Ovis aries: one gene and its partners. The protein of the gene in region 4 interacts with the protein of the main gene of each other region in a pairwise test. Links are inferred from orthologs where the notes say so. Each region holds a gene or a part of one and is shown on either strand. Other genes may lie near its edges.

Region 1 (5,191 bases), on a different chromosome or scaffold from region 4:
TAAAGAAAAAGAAGGGTAACCCTGAACTGTATTTGCTTTGCTTTCTCTGGTAGATTTTTCTCCTGAAAGTCACCTATCTCATTCCACAAGGGTGTGTCCACATCTTTTTCACTTAGTACTAGGTCAGTTCAGTTCCTTAGCATGTTTCAGAATGACTAATCAACATGCACATACTATATGTAAAATTTTTACTGCTCTGGTCTCCTCCTATGTTTTCACCATGTGTAAACTGGTGGAAAGATTTTATTGCCCCTCAGGGAATGTCTTGAGGATTTTTATACCTCTTATCTTGTAAGCCAACTTCCCCTTGTGTCTCAGCTGGTAAAGAGTCTGCCTGCAATGCGGGAGACCTGGGTTCGATCCCTGGGTTGGGAAGATCCCCTGGAGATGGGAAAGCTACCCACTCCAGTATTCTGGCCTGGAGAATTCCATGGACTGTATAGTCCATGGGGTCGCAAAGAGTCAGACACGACTGAGCGATTTTCACTTCACATATCTTGTAAGCAGTTATATTTGGAGTCCAGGTTAGTCTTAAAATGTAGACCTGTTTCTATCACCTTCATGGAAAAGTAAATGAGAAAGGGGTGATAATAAAATGATCAGTCTTGGGAAAAAGAATCATTTTTGCTTGTTGTTAATCATTGCAAAAGATAATATCCTATTCTCAATTTTCAAAAGTTCTATGTGTTATTATACTTCTTTGAAGAGAATATGAGTGGTTTTATCTAATCCCTAAATAGGAGGAACAATTTATACTAATATTATTTTATATGAAGTTACTACCGGGGAAGAAAACATTACAGACATGATGATCAGAAATGCTCAATGACTGAAATAAACCACACATTTCTGTGTTTAACTTGATAAATACATTTCTGCTTCAAAAAGTATTCTAGACTATTTGCTTGAGGGAGCTTTTAGAGCCAGTCCCAGTGAGGGTTCAGGAGAATAAAACTGCTGGCAACTAATCTTCTTTGGGATCCAACTTTAAGTTAAAAATCCTTAAAGGCCATCTATCTTTGGAGCAAGAAAACCATTTTTCTTAAAATCCTATCCTTCATTTTTAGCTTTATTCTTTATGGAGAAAATGCTAAAGAATACAAGGATTCAAAAAAGGAAGGCCTTTCCAAATGTGAGGTAGGACTGCAGCTTTAAGAACTTTTCACATCACATACTTCCAGTCTGGGCCAGATATTAGATAACGGGGGTGTTAGCAAATACTTGTGTCCAATTAGAACAGTGCTTGCATCATTACATATTCAATAAGAATGTAGCCTGTTGCAAAGCGTCTCCAGGAACACAAAGACTCCTATTCTTTCTGACCAGAGCCACCACACTTGCCAGAATGTCTGTATCTACATTCCATAGTGAAGTCCGTAGAAACCATTAATACCTTTCAGCCAAGGGGACAGATGGCTCCTTTTCATCCTTATTAGATCACAAATTAGTTGTGCATAGCGATACTTCTGTCTAACCTTGGGGCCACAATAGAACTTGCCGGCAAGAAAATAAAATTTCTGGCTCCACTAAGTTTCTTATCCTCCCATCCATTTCACATCTAAAACTACAGGGCAGAATTGTGCTTTTTGTGGCCTTGTAAAAGGTAGTCAACTTTGGCAAAACCGCAACCTAAATCAAACTGTAACTCTTCAAAATCAAAATATCAACGTGTTGCAAACACGAAACGGAAAAAAAAATGATTTCTTGGGAAAAGAATCTTGAAACAAATTAAAAAATGTTAAAGACCATGTCCTACGGAACGGTTTAATCATTCAAGGGCTTTTATCCAGAACTGCGGTCTCTCTGCCACTAGGGGGCTTGGCGCGCAGACGTGAAGTTTTGTATGATTCAGACTTGGGTTAAGAAACTTTTAGAATTGCTCGTGGGTTGGGCGGGAGGGTGGCGTCCCGTGGCTTCGAGTAGGAACGGAATCTACCAACCTGTCTGAAAGACTGCAGAGTGCTCTCGGCTTCCTCTCTCTGAAGCATCTCCTCCTGCAACCTGAAACAGTTTCAGATTAACCACAGGGGAACCGGGAAACCGCCAGGGGCGGGGCGACCACACCCAAACACCCAGTCGTGGCGCAGAGACCCAAGGGTTGCTGCGCCACCTCCGCGCTCAATTAGCGACCGCGGCTTAGACCTGCTGTCCTAGGCAAGTTTAAGCGGGACCTTGGCCTCTGCGTGGAAAAGCAATCACTGTCGCCACCCCGACCTGCGAGACGCCCGCCACCACCTCACCGCGGAGACTCTACAATCCCTTTGTCTCGCTCTCTCCACGGCCCGTTGGCTGGCAGCCAGCCAGAGGGGGACAGGAAACTTTCTCAAAGTTTGGGGAAATCGCGTTCATCCTTTTCTAGGGCCTTAGCAGCAGCAGCAGCAGCAGAGTACACAGTGGTAGTTTTTAAAAGTCTGCAACTTGAAACGTGCGTTCTTGGGCAATGAGTCGGGGTAGAGGGAAAATGCTAACTTGGAAGATTCTGGTTCAGGGCGGGGCCCGCACCGCTTAAGCCACAACCCTGCTCCCCCGCTGTCCCCCACCCCCACCCCCGGCAGCCGCCGCCCGGGCCACATCCCCAAGGGCGTGGCAGCTCCGGTATCCACTTCATCCCTCCCTCAGCCCCGCGTGGGCGCCGCCTTACTTCTCCCGGAGCCTCATGATGTCTTCGGCCAGGTTGTCGCGCTCCACCTCGACGCGGGCCTTGTCGTTGGTGAGCTGGTCCACCTGCCGGCGCAGCTCTCGCATCTCCTCCTCGTAGAGGTCCCCCAGGCGCGACTTGCCCTGTCCCTTGAGCTGCTCGAGCTCAGCCAGCAGGATCTTGTTCTGCTGCTCCAGGAAGCGCACCTTGTCGATGTAGTTGGCGAAGCGGTCATTGAGCTCCTGCAGCTCCACCTTCTCGTTGGTGCGGGTGTTCTTGAACTCGGTGTTGATGGCGTCGGCCAACGAGAAGTCCACCGAGTCCTGCAGCAGCCGCACGCCGGGCACGCCGCTCCGCAGGCGCACAGCCGAGGAGCGCGTGGCGTACACGCCACCCGGGGACGAGGTGTAGAGGGTGCGGCTGGTGGAGGGGCGCAGCGCACTGCCCAGGCTGTAGGTGCGGGTGGACGTGGTCACGTAGCTCCGGGTGGAGCTCGGCCGGCTCGCGGTGCCTGGGCCGCCGAACATCCTGCGGTAGGAGGACGAGGACACGGACCTGGTGGACATGGCTGCAGAGGGTGGCGGTGGACTGGGCGACTGCGGTAGCACGGACTGGCTCCGGGAGAAGAGGCGAGCGCGAGGGCGCGGTGGGTGTGGGCAGAGGGAGCGGTGCTGCGTCTCTGGCGCGGGGAGCCCGGAGCGAGAGTGGCAGAGGACCGGACCCCGCGCGGGGCGCAGTTTTTATAACCGCGTTAGGTAAGAGGGTTCCCTCCCACTGCCATCCCGGCGACGGAGTGCGCCAGCCAATGGGGAAGGCTGGGCGGGGGGTTGGGGCGGGGGCGCCCCGGAGCCGTCCTCCTCCCCCATCTTCCCCAACGGGGACTGAGCACAGCCCCGTTACTTCTTAGCTGGGCTGGGACTTTCAGGGGCTTTCCTGATGGTGGCCCGAGCTCTGCTCACCTCTGGGTGCTGATAAAGGAGGGGTCGCGCAGTGGTGCAGGGGGAACCCGCCAGGACTGGACCAGAGGGGTCCCGGGCTCCGCGCCAAAGAGCTGTAGGAGGAGGCGCGCGGGTGGGAGGGGCGCGCCGCAGCTGGGTTGCGCTTTACTGGGAGAGAGAGGATGCGGAGCCCCGCGGGCCAAGAAGCAGGAGGAGGGGGAGTGCAGGATCCCGCAGAACTGGAGGCGTGGAGAAAGAAACAAAGAGGGCCTGAGATTAGAGCGCGAGGTGGGGGCGCGCACAGCTCTGGACGCAGGGCTTGGGCCCCGCGCAGGAGTGTGTGCACAGCCCGCTTCGAAAGAGGATCTGATGCGGACCCCGTCTCTCTTCGTCCTCTTGTCTTGGGAATTCCTGTTCAGGGACCTAACGGACTGGGTCCCCTTTGGACGGTGCGCGCTTCGAGGCGGCGGCCGAGGAAAGCCTGGGGGAGAAGGGTGGGGTCGCTGAGTCACTGGCACTGAGTCACTGCACCCGGCTGTCCCGCCGAAGGCTCCTAGCGGTACAGGGAAACCGTTAGACGAGATTGACTCCAGCCTCCCCGGGCCTGCGCGCACAGTTTGTCGAAGTTTAACACAACTTCGAGCTGGGCCTCAGCTTTCTCGTGGGCAGTTCGCCTGCGTGAAGACTAGCGCGCGCCTGAGTTCTTAAGAACCCGACAAAGCCAGATTTTGCTCCGATATGCAGGCTTCTCTGTAGTAAGAAACTTCTGCACACATTCTATAAGCGCCGAACGCGGGTCTGGGGCATCACAAATGCACTCCGGGGAGGTTCTTGCCAAGTTCCCCCTCACTCTTCTCCCTGGTCCCCTCTCGGCCTCCCCCTCCCCCCATAAAACCACACCCGACTTTTAACAGGATCTGGAAGTTTGGGGTGAAGGAGGAAGCTCTGCGTCCGCAGCTGCACAATCAAATTGATCTCTGGTTTTTCTGCTGTTGCGGAAGTCATTCAAGGTATAAACCTGCGCTAATTATAAGAATGAATTAGGTGATACTTTAAATGTTTAATTTGGTGAATGAAAGGCAGTTAGTTGATTAAATGATTAGTTAGAAAGGCAGCTAGTTAGCCTCAGATGATAGAATGTTTGCAGGGACTGATGCATTCTGCAGGATTCTGGTGTCTTGTCGGGGAAAAGTCACTGGTCCGTTGGTCGATTTTCCAGAATTCCTGCAGTTGGACTTAAAGTGAGAGAAACAAAATTGAATACGGGGCAAAATGTTTTAGTGTAGGGTGCCAAGGGAGTGTTCAGACTCTTAACACCAAAACCTTTTTAGATAAATCCCTCAACTAGGTTTTTGTTGTAATGTTAGTAACAGGAAGAACAGAATGGTTACCCCCAAAGAGAGACAAAGAAAATCCAAAACAGTCTTTTAGTGATACCTACAGCAATTTAAAATTCAGAGGTTTTTTGTTTGTTTATATTTACAAGACTGAAGGAGTATTGAAAGGATTAACCCCCAAACCACTGTTAAAATAAAAGCCTCTTGATTCTGTAGTGAATGGAGAGGGGGGTAGGATAGGAAGAGGTAAATCCTTTTCTCTGATTTTTGTTTGTTTT
Region 2 (4,546 bases), on a different chromosome or scaffold from region 4:
AACTGAACTCTCTCACTCCAGATCATGTTATAGCCTTGGTGAAAAGTGAGAGTGGTGGGAAGTGGGGAAAGGGACAGAAGTACACACTGGAGACAAAAAACGTCTCCTCTGTCCTTTGTGGCACTGGTCAGGTTTCCTTCTGTCACGTGCCGACCTCTACCTTGGACCTCTGACCCTTGTTCTCCGCTCCCATTCCATTTCCCCAGCCCATGCCTTTCAGCCTCCTCGTCGTCTCAGCTGACCTTGCACAGTCCCGTCTCTTCTCCCCCCATGGCCCCTGCTTCATTCTCCCCAAGTCTTCATGCCCTGCCAGAAGCCAGCTAGCCCCTTTTCCCTGGGGCCTCTGTGCCCCAGTACCCAAGCATCTTCTCCCCATCAGCTGGTGTCGGCTGAAGGCTCACACCCAGAACCAGCGCCCTTCTGTGCTGACAGCCCGGCAGAACTGCCACCGCCCATGGAGCGCACAGGAGGCATCGGCGACTCCCGGCCCCCATCCTTCCAGTGAGTGTGACCGGAGGGTGGGGAGAGCCCCTAGGGGGAGGGCTGCCTCAGCTCAGCTTGGCTGGGGGAGAGGGCCCCCAGCCTGCGCCCTCCCCCACCAAGTCCTCTCTTCCCTACAGCCCTCACGCTGGTGGGGGCAGCCAGGAGAACTTGGACAACGACACAGAGACAGACTCCTTGGTGTCTGCCCAGCGAGAGCGGCCACGCCGGAGGGATGGCCCAGAGCACAGTGCGTCCTCCCTGAACCCACACCTTCCCCACCCCCAGCATCTCTCCCTGCCCCTTCCACCCAGCTACCCAACTCTCTGCCTTCCTTCCTGAGCTCTGGATAGGCCTGGCCCCAGTACAGCCCCTGGCTCGTCCTTGCCTCCTTCTCTCCTTCATCAAGCACTGTGAGCCCAGCTGCCTCCGTCCCCTGCAGCAACCCGGCTGAATGGAACTGCCAAGGGGGAACGGCGACGAGAGCCAGGGGGTTATGACAGCTCCTCCACCCTGATGAGCAGCGAGTTGGAGACCACCAGCTTCTTTGATTCAGATGAGGATGATTCCACCAGCAGGTGGGGCTTTGGTTTCCTGGGTACTGTGGGACAGGTGACCCATAGGAGCCCTGACCCCTGAGGATGCTGGGCCTCTGGGCAGGATGTGGGCTTTGTGGTGGGGACCCGGGCCCTGCGATGCCTCTTTGGGATAGGGCTGGGCCAGCCTGGTGGGGAACGACTGTGGGCCCCACAGGTTCAGCAGCTCCACAGAGCAGAGCAGCGCCTCACGCCTGATGAGAAGACACAAGCGGCGGCGGCGGAAGCAGAAGGTTTCCCGGATTGAGCGGGTATGGGGCCAAGACGCTGGGGTGGGTGGAGCAGACGGAGCCCCCCTGCCCCCAGCAAGACGAGAGTTTGTCTTCCTTCGATCCCTCCCCTTGGGTCAGGGTATAGCATCCTAGAGGGGAGGTGGTGCTGAGGGCTAGCCTTGAGGAAGAGCTCGGTGGGAGCAGTGAGTTCCTGCCACCCCTGCCTGCTGCTCAGGGCCTCTGTCTATTCCAGTCTTCATCCTTCAGCAGCATCACGGACTCCACCATGTCACTCAACATCATCACCGTCACTCTCAACATGGGTGAGTCTCGTGAAATGACACTTTCCAGCGCCTGCTACGTGCCACACCGGGAGTGCAGAGAGATACACGATATGTTCCCTTCCCTCAAGGAGCTCTTTTTCATAAGCATAAACTGCTACATACACTGATCCATTCAGTATCTCATGATCAGAGCTATGACAGAGATAAGCACTATGGAAGCAGAGAATGGCACCCAGGATGGCTTCCTAAACTGATTCTGATGCTTCCCCACTTTCCGATTTCCATCCCTTACATTCTTGGTCTCTGATTTCTGCCCTAGGTGTTCTTCTTTAGGAGGTAGCAGGATGTAGTGAAAGAGCCCCAACTTTGGAATTTAAATCTGAGTTTGAACCCTAACTCTGCCACTTCATGGCTCAAATTCTCTGCACCTCATTTGTCTTCTCTGTAAAACAGGATTGAGTTCCTACCTCGTAGCCAACAAGGATTAAGTGAAAGTATGTTTGAGTATGCAGAATACAGTGCCTGATTCAAGTTCAATAAATGTTAGTTCTTGTCCCTTTCTACCCTTTTCTAATGAAGGGCTTAGAATCTGGGTAGGAACGTTGTTCCTGTCTCAAGTTCTTATTACTCCCTGTAGAAAAGTATAACTTCTTGGGCATCTCCATTGTGGGCCAAAGCAACGAGCGTGGTGATGGAGGCATCTACATTGGCTCCATCATGAAGGGTGGGGCCGTGGCTGCTGATGGACGCATTGAGCCAGGAGACATGCTGTTACAGGTACCATTGCCCACCCTGGGTGGTGGTATGGATGGAGACGGGGAAATGTCCACACCCTCTGTATCCTGCTTCTTGGTATGGGGAAGACCCCCTAGCCCACCAAACTTAGCTTCCCTACCATCTCCCCAACACAGCTGCGTATTCCACTCCTGGTCCTTTTTCCCAGGTAAACGAGATCAACTTTGAGAACATGAGTAACGATGACGCGGTCCGAGTACTTCGGGAAATTGTACACAAACCAGGGTATGGATGGCATTGGGAAGGAGAGGGCAGGTATTTCTGACTAACAGGGAAGGGGCTTGGTTTGGCCTCCACACATCCTGCCCTCACTAGGGACACCCTTGCTTTCAGGCCCATCACCTTGACTGTAGCCAAGTGCTGGGACCCAAGTCCACGTGGGTGCTTCACACTGCCCAGGAGTAAGTGGATGGGAGACTGGGCCCTAAAGCTGGTGCTTAGCATATGTGAGCCCAGTCTCTCCTTCCTTCTGTGTTACCCTGAACCTCACACCTACCCTACTGGGCCAGGCAGTGGGCAGGGCAGGTAGTCCCTGACTCCTCATCCTCCCCGCAGGTGAGCCCATCCGACCCATTGACCCCGCGGCCTGGGTCTCCCACACTGCAGCCATGACCGGCACCTTCCCTGCCTACGGCATGAGCCCCTCCCTGAGCACCATCACCTCCACCAGCTCCTCCATCACCAGCTCCATCCCTGACACAGAGCGTGAGTGTCCAACCCTGACCCCTGGGTCCAGCACATAGGACCAGCTGGAAGGGACTGCTGAAGGCCCACCTGGAGACTCTTGCTTGAGCATCCGAGGGAGCTGGAGAGGAGAGTCGGTCTGTTCCAGCCACCTCACTCTGCAGTTTCCCTCAGTGGACACTGACCCTCACCAAACCATTTGCTTCTGAACCTGTACTGAGCACCCAGTAAGCCTCAGTTTCCTCTTGTAAAATGGGACTGATGATATGCACTTTACCAGGCTTCTAGGGTTTAATGAGAGGATACAAGTAAAACATCAAGCACAGTGTGTGGCATAAAGTAAGCGCTCAGTAAATGACTGCCTTTCTATTATCACAGCATACATTGTACACTGGGCTAAGCACCTTCATTTATATTATTTAATTCTCTCTTCAAATATCCTTGTAAAATAGATATTAAAGTCCCTATTTTTACAGAAGGGGAAACTGAGTGTCCCAAATGTTGGTAATTTGCCTGACATTGGTCCATGTTATTAGGCAGTAGAGCTGGAATGCAAACTCCTGTGTACTTGACTCCATGGCCCCTTTCTGCCTCACCATTTTACCTCCCACCCCCAGGCCTAGACGACTTCCACCTGTCCATCCACAGTGACATGGCTGCCATAGTAAAAGCCATGGCCTCCCCTGAATCCGGGCTAGAGGTCCGTGACCGAATGTGGCTCAAGATTACCATCCCCAACGCTTTCATCGGTGAGAGGGCCCCATGGTGGGATGAAGGATGGGGTGGAAAGTGGTGGGGCAGGGCAGGCCAGGACCCAAGAACTCCCTTGGGCCACCCCTTGGAGTTGGAATCAGCACCAGCCTCATGGCTCCTGTGAGGTCAGAAGAGCCCAGGTCTGGTGGGCCTCCCAATCAAGTGGCAGCCTTGCCCTCAGGCTCGGATGTGGTGGACTGGCTGTACCACAACGTGGAAGGCTTCACTGACCGGCGAGAGGCCCGCAAGTATGCCAGCAACCTGCTGAAAGCCGGCTTCATCCGCCACACTGTCAACAAGATCACCTTCTCCGAGCAGTGTTACTACATCTTCGGCGACCTCTGTGGCAGTACGTGCCTCCCCAGCCTCCTTGCCCTGTCTCCTGGTTGAAAGTGGGAGTGGCCTGGGTGGATGTGGCAGCAGACTCTAGGGAACCCAGATTAGGGGGCAGTAGAGCTGGGGGAGCCTCAAGACCTGACAGTTCTGTGTGGTCGAGGCAGAGCCCACACCAGTTCTTAGGCAGAGCCCACACCAGTTCCTCTTCACTTCCCTGCCCAGCCCCCTTGGGGCTGGTGTTTTCTGAGTGCCTGCTCTGTGCCTGGCACCATGCTGGTTGTTTCTAAAGCATCATCTCACTCTCACTCAATCCTCACAACCTCCCTAAAGCCCTTGAGGAGATGATTCTGTTTTCATATGAGGAAACTGAGACTTATATAAGTTAAGTAGTCTACTCCAGGTTTCA
Region 3 (4,546 bases), on a different chromosome or scaffold from region 4:
AGGTCTTCGGGAGCCCCCGCAAGCCCCACAGCCACTCCTTCGACACCCCCGAGAGCCGGGTCTGGGGCCTCTGGGAAGAGCTGGGTGTGGGCAGCAGCGGCTACCTCACAGAGGAGGAGCTGGCCCTGGTCTGCCAGAGCATCGGGCTCCAGGGCCTGGCGAAGGAGGTGAGAGGGGATGGGATGGACCGCCCCAAAGGGCTGGGTCTTTGTGGTTGGTGCCGGGCCTGGAAGACCCCTTCACCCTCAGACACACACTCAGTCGTCACTGTCTGGCCTGAAATCCTGTGCTGACTCCCAGGGCTTGTGCTGAGGGTCCGTCTCGGGCCACCTCCACGCAGGATGCTTCTCTGCCTGGAGCTCTCTCCCCTCTCTGGTCTCCCTAGGCCTACCGCCCAGCCCAAAGGTGGTGCCCATAGCATCTGTGTTCAGCCCTTGCCTCCTTCAGGACCCAGAGAGGAGGGGGCAGTGTGATGGGATGGGCCCCACCTTGCTGACCCAGAACCGCTGGGATTCCGTACATGCATGTCCCACACATACATGTCCCACCGTCCAGCAGACTCCCTCACAGCAGACTCGGGGTGGGTGTTTGGGAGATGCGGGATGCTCAGCTGGGTGGAAACTGACTAGGCATATGGATTTCACAAGGCCCAGCCAGGAAGCCAGTGCTTGGATAGCAAGCCGCCTGCTTGGTAGGGTGGGGGCTGGGCCTGGGCGGGGCATTCAAGGCTGCTTGGGAGCAGCCTCTGAGCCGATGCCTAGGGCGCTTTTCTCTAGGAGCTTGAAGACCTGTTCAGCAAGCTGGACCAAGATGGGGATGGCAGAGTGAGTCTGGAGGAGCTCCAGCTTGGCCTGTTCAATCACGGGTCCCCTCGACCGCTGGAACTGGCCCCGCCTGTCAAACCCAGCGGGTCCTGGTCTCATTACCAGGTAAGGTGGGACAATTAACTCTTGAAGCCCAGGGTGACTGCATCATTCTCCTGAAGGCCTGATCTCTCTGCCTGGTCCCCAGAGTGGGTGCCCAGGAGGTGGTTGGAGTGACCTGACCTGACATCGCTTCTGCCTGCCTATGCGCCAGGGGTGAGCTGCTCGCCTTCTCTGAGCCTCAGGTTCCTCATCTGTAAAGTGGACGCACCTCATAGGGATTTTATGTGGATTCCCTGGGGTACACTGCGTTCCACCAACAGCACCCGGTTGCTCCTTCCCGGGGGACAGAGTCACTATCAGGGCCATGCCTTCCCCGGGACTAGCCCTCCAGGCTCTCCTGGAGCTGTGTTCTTCCCATTTTCCATCCTGCACGAGGCCAGCTGGGGTCAAGCAGACTTTATTTACACTGTGATGCTGGCTGGGCAGTGCGTTTGGTTCAGGTCTGTCTCAGGGTAGTCAGGGCTCCTTCTCCCACCGCAGGGCATGGTTGTCCTGGGGAGTCTTGCTGCCACCTCTTTGGCAGCGTGGTTGATCCCGTAGTTTTTGGGCAGCGGTGCAGGAACAGTGGCCTTGTTCTCTGCTGGGCTGGGCGTGTCCGAAGATCAGGTTTCTGCCCCTGAAGCCACTGAGATGGGGAAGAAGTTGGGTTAGTGAGGATAGTGCCCGGCCACCTGAGGGCAGGGACTGCATGGTGCCCACAGCCCACGGAGGAGGGCTCCTCCCAGGGGCCTCGGCCCCTCGTTCCCGCCCAGGAAGCACTGACGTGGCGCCAGGGCCATGTCCTGTGCGTGTGGACACCGGTGTGGCCAGGCTGCGGGTGTAGGGCCTCACGCAGCAGACCGAGGTTCTCCTACTCCATCAGGGGAGCCCCTGGGTCTGGTGGTCTGGGGACACCCACCTCAGAGAGGAGGGGGCTGCTGCTCCTCCTTGTTTTGGTCCCAACAGCAAATGCATGTCCCAAGGGCCCTCCCTGGGGCGGAAGCACAGCTTCCTGGCTGCACTTCAGCCTCACCTGTCAGCTTTCCGGCCGAGGGATTTTTCTGCCTTTGTCTCCAGCCCTGAATCCTGAGGACACGTGCCCTCTGCTTGGGCTGCTCTGCCTCTTCTGAAGCCCATCTTGGGTTTCTCTGCATAGACTGGGTTTCCCTTGGCTGGAGTGTGCCTTCCCGGGCTCTTCCTCTGGGAGGACAGGCGGCAAGCCACCTTGTTCAGGGAGAAGTTACCTCGGGGGGCCCTGCAGGTGCTGGGGCATCCCCCTGCATGGCCTCACGCAGACGGCCCTGAGCCCTGGGCTCGGGTCACCTCTGCGGAGCCTGCAGTTCCCGCAGGTCCTCTGGGTACCCTGTTCCCTGCAACAGGAATCAGGGAAGGCCACGCCCGCCAAGCACAAGTGGTGATGTGGGGAGGTGCGTGGGGAGGCCCACGGTCCTCACAGCGCTGGTCCCCGTGTGCAGGTCCCGGAGGAGAGTGTTGGCCAGACCACCACGTCGTCCCTCGTGTCCGTGTGCTCGGGCCCCCGCCTCTTCTGCAGTGTGGATGACGGCAGTGGCTTCGCCTTCCCGGAGCAGATCATCTCCTTGTGGGCCCAGGAGGGCGTTCACAATGGCAGGGAGGTCTTGCAGGTGTGGGCCGGTCACGTGGCTGCCCCAGCAGAGGTGTCTGGGCGGGGGGTTGCAGGGAGCTGCTGCCCATGAGGGAGGCTGGACAGAGAACCTCGCAGACATAGGCCCCATGGAGGGAAGGCCCGTCATCCTCACTTTTTGCTTTACTTTTTGATATCGATATGTAGGACCTCCTAACTTAGAAACATAATAAGTAAACAGCAGAGAAAGCCCACAGCCTGAAACAAATCCTCTAGAGGGTAGGTTTCAGTATCTCAGATTTACCCCGCAGTGCATGTTGGCCTCCGAGCGGATCCTGGGTCCTGGAGGACTAGAGGGCCTCTTAGTGACTGCAGCACGTGGGTGTGGACACCAGGAGGCGCTGCCCACACGTGTCGCGCAGTTTTTCTAATCTGGAAGCTGCTGCCCAGACTTCTTCATCCTCTGCTCCCACCGTGATTTCATTGCTGAGAAGCGTGCTCTCAGCAAGTCTTGGCGGCAGCTTCCCGGTCGCTCCGCACGCTTTAGCATCCTGTCATTTTTCTCCCAGAAGTCCTCAGGGCCGTGGAGAAGCGTGGAGATTCAAGTCCCCTCTCCCACTTTACAGCAAGGGCTTCCGCGTGGGCCCTGCCATGTGCCTGCCCCACCCGTGTGTCTGCAACTTGTAGTCACAAGCACCAGTCACTGAGAGAGCAGCCACAGCACCAGTGTTATCACTAGGCTGCCACAGGTGCACGGGCGTTCCCAGCCTGCTCTTTTTCTTACTTTTTCTTACTTAAAATACAGAAAGCACAGTTTTTCTGTTCTTTTAACTCTACCTTCCCCAATCCCGAGGGGGAATGGCTCTGACTCTCAGGAATGCTTGGCTGTGGCTCATCGCTCTATCAATCGTTTCCACCGACAGAACCCACATTGTTCCTATGTCTGTCCGTGCTGTTTAGAGATATATTAAGGATTCTTTGTGTCTGAAATGGCAAGAACTCAACTCACACTTGGCAAGAGGAGGACATCAGGGATCTTTGTGACCAGCTGGGGAAGAAGGAGGAAGTTTAGGCTTGGGGGTCCCAGCTCTGGTGGTTGTCAGGACTCTCCTGGCCTCTGGGTCTTGCACCCTTGCACAGCTCCCCAGGACCCCGTGGTCTATACAACACTTGCTCTGACAGAGGAAAAGCCCTTCTCCAGCCTCCCTATCAATCCCCAAAGTCCTCTGCTTGCATATGCCCCCTTCTATGTCTGTCCCTTTGTCCAAGAAGGGGGACTCTCCAGCCTGGGTCATGCCCGCCTCCGAGGCAGGGTCAGTGAGGAGAGGAGCTGTATGTTGACAGTGGGAGGGCGACATCAGTGTTGACAGGGACCTGGGGAGAGGTACCCCAGAGGGATGGGAGCAAGGGAGAGGCTCCATTCAAGAGGTGGAGACTTTGCAGACAGAAAAGGATGGTACTGGGACAGTGAGGTCTGGGCCTGTGGGACCCAGCAAATATCTGAAGACCCACTCATCCTGCCTGCCCAACGGTCCTTTCTGTTTTCAGAGCCTTGACTTCAGTGTGGACGAGAAGGTGAACCTTTTGGAGCTGAGCTGGGCCCTGGAGAATGAGCTCATGATGGTGGGCGGGGCCGCCCAGCAGGCAGCCTTGGCCTGCTACCGCCAGGAGCTGAGCTTCTGCCAGTAAGAGCCGCACTGGGGGAGGCGTGGGGTGCCACTGGCCAGGCTGGCCTCCTCGCCCAGGACACGGGGGGCCTGCGGGAGGAGAAAGGCTGCTTCCAGCATGGCCACAAAGCACGGCATGGAGATTGGGCCCAGAATGCGATCCTTTTTAATTGGGTTTGGCTCCAGTTGAGCTGGATATTCAGGCCATCCGTCTACTGAGCCCGTTGGCACAGAGATTGTTAGTGTATTTTTATTGATGCTCTGAAGCTACAGAAAAGGTTGGCAGAAATTGCAGTCTCCATCCCCACGACTTTGCATCTCATTAGATACCGACAGATGAGACCTCTGACGTCAGGCAACTCTGCAGAGGG
Region 4 (4,546 bases):
CCATTCAGGTATGACCAAAATCAAATCCCTTATAATTATATAGTGGAAGTGACAAACAGATTCAAGGGATTAGATCTGATAGAGTGCCTCAAGAACTATGGACGGAGGTTCGTGACACTGTACAGGACGCAGTGATCAAAACCATCCCCAAGAAAAAGAAATGCAAAAAGGCAAAATGGTTGTCTGAGAAGGGCTTACAAATACCTGAGAAAAGAAGAGAAGAGAAAGGCAAAGGAGAAAAGGAAAGATACATCCATCTGAATGCAGAGTTCCAGAAAATAGCAAGGAGAGATAAGAAAGCCTTCCTCAAGTAATCACTGCCAAGAAATAAAGGAAAACAACAGAATGGGACAGCTTAGAGATCTCTTTAAAATTAGAGATACCAAGGGAGTATTTCATGCAAAGATGGGCATAAAAAAAGGACAGAAACAGTATGGACCTAACAGAAGAAGATATCAAGAAGAGATGGCAAGAGTAAACAGAACTATACTAAAAAGATCTTAATGACCCAGATAGCAACAATGGTGTGATCACTCACCTGGAGCCAGACATCCTGGAGTCAGGAAGTAGTGGAGGTAACAGAACTCCAGCTGAGCTATTTCAAATCCTAAATGATGATGCTGTTAAAGTGCTGCACTCAATATGTCTGCAAATTTGGAAAACTCAGCACTAGCCACAGGACTGGAAAATGTCAGTTTTCATTCCAATCCCAAAGAAAGGCAAGGCCAGAGAATGTGCAAACTATCGCACAATTGCACTCATTTCACATACTAGTAAAGTAATGCTCAAAATCCTTCAAGTTAGGCTTCAACAGTATGTGAATTGAGAACTTCCAGATTTATACAAACTGGATTTAGAAAAGGCTGAGGAAGCAGAGATCAAACTGCCAACATCCATCGAATCATAGAAAAAGCAAGAGAATTCCAGAAAAACATCTACTTCTGCATCATTGACTACACTAAAGCCTTTGACTGTGTAGATCACAACAAACTGGAAAATTCTTAAAGAGATGAGAATACCAGACCACCTTACCTTACGCCTTCTGAGAAATCTGTATGCAGATCAAGAAACAACAGTTAGACCAGACACGGAACAACAGACTGGTTCTGTCTAGTCAAAGCTATGGCTTTTCCAGTAGTCATGTACAGATGTGAGAGCTGGACAATAAAAAAGGCTAAGCGCCGAAGAATTTGAGCTCTTGAACTGTGGTGCTGGAGAAGACTCTTGAGAATCCCTTGGACAGCAAGGAGATCAATCAATCCTACAAGAAATCAGTCCCGAATATTCACTGGAAGGACTGATGCTGAAGCGGAGGCTCCAATACTTTGGCCACCTGATGTGAAGAGCCAACTCACTGGAAAAGACTCTGATGCTGGGAAAGATTGAAGACAGGAGGAGAAGCGGACAACAGAGCATGCGATGGTTGGATGGCACCACCAACTCAATGGACTTGAGCTTGAGCAAAAGGGAAGCTTTGAGGCAAACCTGAAGTGCTACTGTCCATGGGGTGGCAAAGCATTGGACATGACTGAGCAACTGGAAAACAACAATCAAGACACCCTAGAGCTTATCATCACCATGGTCATGGACCTTCAGACAACTTACCATGTGTCGGCGGAGTATTGTTTGGCTCTTCATGTATTTTAAACAGAATTCACACATGTAAAGACGTCCCAGTCGTGCATATTCTTCAGGATAGGGAGAATGGTACCAAGTATCAAGCTCATAGCGACCAAAAGCAATTGTTTTAATCATGTTGCTCCCCTCTGTGATTTGGCCTTGCAGCCTTAACTTCTCCTGTGTTGCAGAGAAGAAATCAAGTTAAAGGAGGATAAGAATTAATCATTTCTATTGTTGTAAGCTGCGTGCATGCCACCACAACCGGCTATGAAAAAAATAGTTTCTGGCTTCTAGCTCATGAGTAACTTACACTGAAGAGGACTATGGGGGCATGGGTCACCAGGAAGGCTAGAGAAAATGTACTGTCTACACTGCCCAGAGCACAGGTCTTGAGAGTGGCTTTTCTCTGCTACCTACCCACTTGGGCCTAATCTCTTGAACATCAGAACAAGCCCTTCGTAAAATTTTACTTTTTATCAGTCTGAAATAAACAGAATTTTAAAAGACCATCTATCACAAACTCCCTACACCTTAACAAACATTCTAAACCTAAACAAAAGCTTCTCGAGAATGCACTTCATACGTGTGCAAAAGCTTTTATAAAGAAAGCTGTATGGATCTGCATGACATGCACCCATGCTGGCCATGCTCTCAACTTGGGTCCTTTAAAAAACACTTTTGAAACACGGATGATGCTTTAATTCTGGAATTTAAAGCTAGAAAGTAGAAGATATTTTTGAATACCTGTCCCCACTCAGTGGCTATGAGTTAGTCACAGAAATAATTCTGAAGAATAATCAGGCAGAGCTCTGAAAAGCTGGCCTAGGAAATGTTCAGTACCAGGGTAAGATAGAGAAAACTGGCAGTGGTAGCCCAGCCTAAATAAGGGCAGCAATCAAACCCTGCCTCTCCCAAAATTTCAACAAGTCTCCTCTATGGAGCCTTATACCAAGGTCACAGGACAAAAATTTCTGTAATTAACCAAGGTCAGTAACAACTGTTGCCATGAGCTTCTAGATCTAAATCAGCCAGGTCCTTTACCCTCCATTAGGTAAAATACCCCACCCTGAAACTTCTAACCAGTCACTTAATGTTACCCTTCCAGCTGGAATTTTCTCTGCCTTGAGGCTATAAAAATTGGCAACTAGCCCAAGAAAGGGGTCAGCTCTCCCTTGAGCCAGTCTGCTGTTCTAATAACATCTCCCACTCTAAGAAACTCTGTTCTCCTCTCATCCTGCCTCATGTCTGGAAATTCTTTTCCAACCAGCCCATGGACCACTATATCATCAAGAATTCTTAAATAAAGTATTTGATTATAAATTTTTTTAAAAAAAAGGAAGATGAAATTCACTTTACAAACTTTAAGTTTCTTTGAAGTGAAGTCGCTCAGTCGTGTCCGACTCTTTGCGACCCCATGGACTGTAGCCTATCAGGCTCCTCCGTCCATGAGATTTTCCAGGCAAGAGTGCTGGAGTGGACTGCCATTTGGACATATTTAATTCATTCAATCAGAATTCTAAACTATCTGACAACATAGTTGTCAGATTCTAAATTAGCTAAACTATCTGACAACAACCTTGATCATTATTCCTCTCCCATTCTTTTATAGCTACAATGAAAGGCTGAAGCAATCCCACAAAGGGGAGTTCCTATTTAGGTTAAGAGGACAACAGAGGGGTACCTTCCAGTCTAGGGGTTCTCAGAATTACAAATTATCCAACTGACACAAAGGGGCACCCACTGTTCTATCCAGATAACTACCTCTACCAAACAGGTCCTTCCAGGAGTTGAGGTGGAGAGGGAAAACTTTAAGGGACAAAGGAAGGGAGGAGGGGTAATTAATTTTAAATATCAATGGGAAGGAAGTCTCAAATAAGGATGTCCGGGGGAAGGGAAAAAGGGTCAAGCAGCAAGGTATGTTTAATCCCTAGCAAACTGACTGCTAATTTTCCTTGGCAGTTCCAAGTGACCCTCACAAGTAGTCCTCATCTTGGAAGTTTCAATACTCACCAGATCCTCTGAAGCACGGGCTTGTGCTCTTCGGAAAAGATCCAAGTCATACTCGCTCGTCAGGTTTTCCAGGAGAGGTTCCCGAGTGTTCCCATAGGTCTGCCTGTGTTCCTAGGAAAATAACCGGAGCATGATACTTTCTGCTTCTAAGAACTTGCTGCTGCTGCTACTGCTAAGTCACTTCAGTCATGTCTGACTCTGTGCGACTCCATAGACGGCAGCCCACCAGGCTCCCCCATCCCTAGGATTCTCCAGGCAAGAACAGTGGAGTGGGTTGCCATTTCCTTCTCCAATGCATGAAAGTGAAAAGTGAAAGTGAAGTCACTCAGTCGTGTCTGACTCCTAGCGACCCCATGGACTGTGGCCCACCAGGCTCCTCCGTCCATGGGATTCTCCAGGCAAGAGTGCTGGAGTGGAGTGCCATTGCCTTACTTAACCTATTGCCTTTCAACGGATGCCAACCAGAAGGCCAAGAATAACCATACTTATTTATTTAGTACCTGCTATTAATATTTGCCAGGCATTATACTAGGCACTAGGGATCAAGTACAAAACAAACTATTTATCAGACAGGTTAATTCCAGAAGATACCTACTATCCACTCTAGTGAACCTGGAAAGGAAATGTCCTAACCACCACCCCAAAAGAGAGTTTCATTCTTCAGAATTTTATGCTTCCATTTCTTCCTCTGAAAATGTGCATTGCAAAACAAATCAATAAAATATAACAAAACCCAAATGCACTACCAACTCCTAGAACCCTGAAATCTAGTTGAATACTCATTTAAAAACAAAACCAAATAAAAACTAGAATCTCTAAGCCTTCAATTCTAAGACTTCAGGCTGAAAAAAAAATCTACAGGAAGGAGCAGCTAGACTAAGCAGGCTTTTGTAAACTCTTTCCCTTGAATTGCTGC

The links.
Region 1: the proteins of KAT7 (region 4) and VIM interact in binary tests that used the Homo sapiens proteins (3 or more experiments, as listed by UniProt). The link is inferred for Ovis aries from reciprocal best matches to the Homo sapiens genes KAT7 and VIM.
Region 2: the proteins of KAT7 (region 4) and DVL3 interact in a two-hybrid assay, tested with the Homo sapiens proteins (2 studies listed by BioGRID and IntAct). The two-hybrid records come from large-scale screens. The link is inferred for Ovis aries from reciprocal best matches to the Homo sapiens genes KAT7 and DVL3.
Region 3: the proteins of KAT7 (region 4) and NINL interact in a two-hybrid assay, tested with the Homo sapiens proteins (2 studies listed by BioGRID and IntAct). The two-hybrid records come from large-scale screens. The link is inferred for Ovis aries from reciprocal best matches to the Homo sapiens genes KAT7 and NINL.

What each region holds. Positions count from the first base shown.
Region 1 is NC_056066.1:31,054,286-31,059,476, reverse strand, and holds the start of VIM (vimentin), read right to left. Parts: upstream 3,352-5,191; 5' UTR 3,205-3,351; coding exon 2,642-3,204; intron 2,002-2,641; coding exon 1,941-2,001; intron 1-1,940. UniProt on the Homo sapiens protein: Vimentins are class-III intermediate filaments found in various non-epithelial cells, especially mesenchymal cells. Vimentin is attached to the nucleus, endoplasmic reticulum, and mitochondria, either laterally or terminally.
Region 2 is NC_056054.1:203,774,096-203,778,641, reverse strand, and holds part of DVL3 (segment polarity protein dishevelled homolog DVL-3), read left to right. Parts: intron 1-379; coding exon 380-501; intron 502-620; coding exon 621-730; intron 731-922; coding exon 923-1,058; intron 1,059-1,233; coding exon 1,234-1,327; intron 1,328-1,541; coding exon 1,542-1,611; intron 1,612-2,209; coding exon 2,210-2,349; intron 2,350-2,515; coding exon 2,516-2,592; intron 2,593-2,700; coding exon 2,701-2,768; intron 2,769-2,922; coding exon 2,923-3,072; intron 3,073-3,668; coding exon 3,669-3,800; intron 3,801-3,985; coding exon 3,986-4,153; intron 4,154-4,546. UniProt on the Homo sapiens protein: Involved in the signal transduction pathway mediated by multiple Wnt genes.
Region 3 is NC_056066.1:10,564,951-10,569,496, forward strand, and holds part of NINL (ninein-like protein), read left to right. Parts: coding exon 1-167; intron 168-202; exon of another isoform or gene 203-520; coding exon of another isoform or gene 521-580; intron 581-776; coding exon 777-929; intron 930-1,307; exon of another isoform or gene 1,308-1,551; intron 1,552-1,938; exon of another isoform or gene 1,939-2,321; intron 2,322-2,380; coding exon 2,381-2,548; intron 2,549-4,056; coding exon 4,057-4,193; intron 4,194-4,546. UniProt on the Homo sapiens protein: Involved in the microtubule organization in interphase cells. Overexpression induces the fragmentation of the Golgi, and causes lysosomes to disperse toward the cell periphery; it also interferes with mitotic spindle assembly.
Region 4 is NC_056064.1:36,556,069-36,560,614, forward strand, and holds part of KAT7 (histone acetyltransferase KAT7), read right to left. Parts: intron 3,742-4,546; coding exon 3,631-3,741; intron 1,798-3,630; coding exon 1,606-1,797; intron 1-1,605. UniProt on the Homo sapiens protein: Catalytic subunit of histone acetyltransferase HBO1 complexes, which specifically mediate acetylation of histone H3 at 'Lys-14' (H3K14ac), thereby regulating various processes, such as gene transcription, protein ubiquitination, immune regulation, stem cell pluripotent and self-renewal maintenance and embryonic development.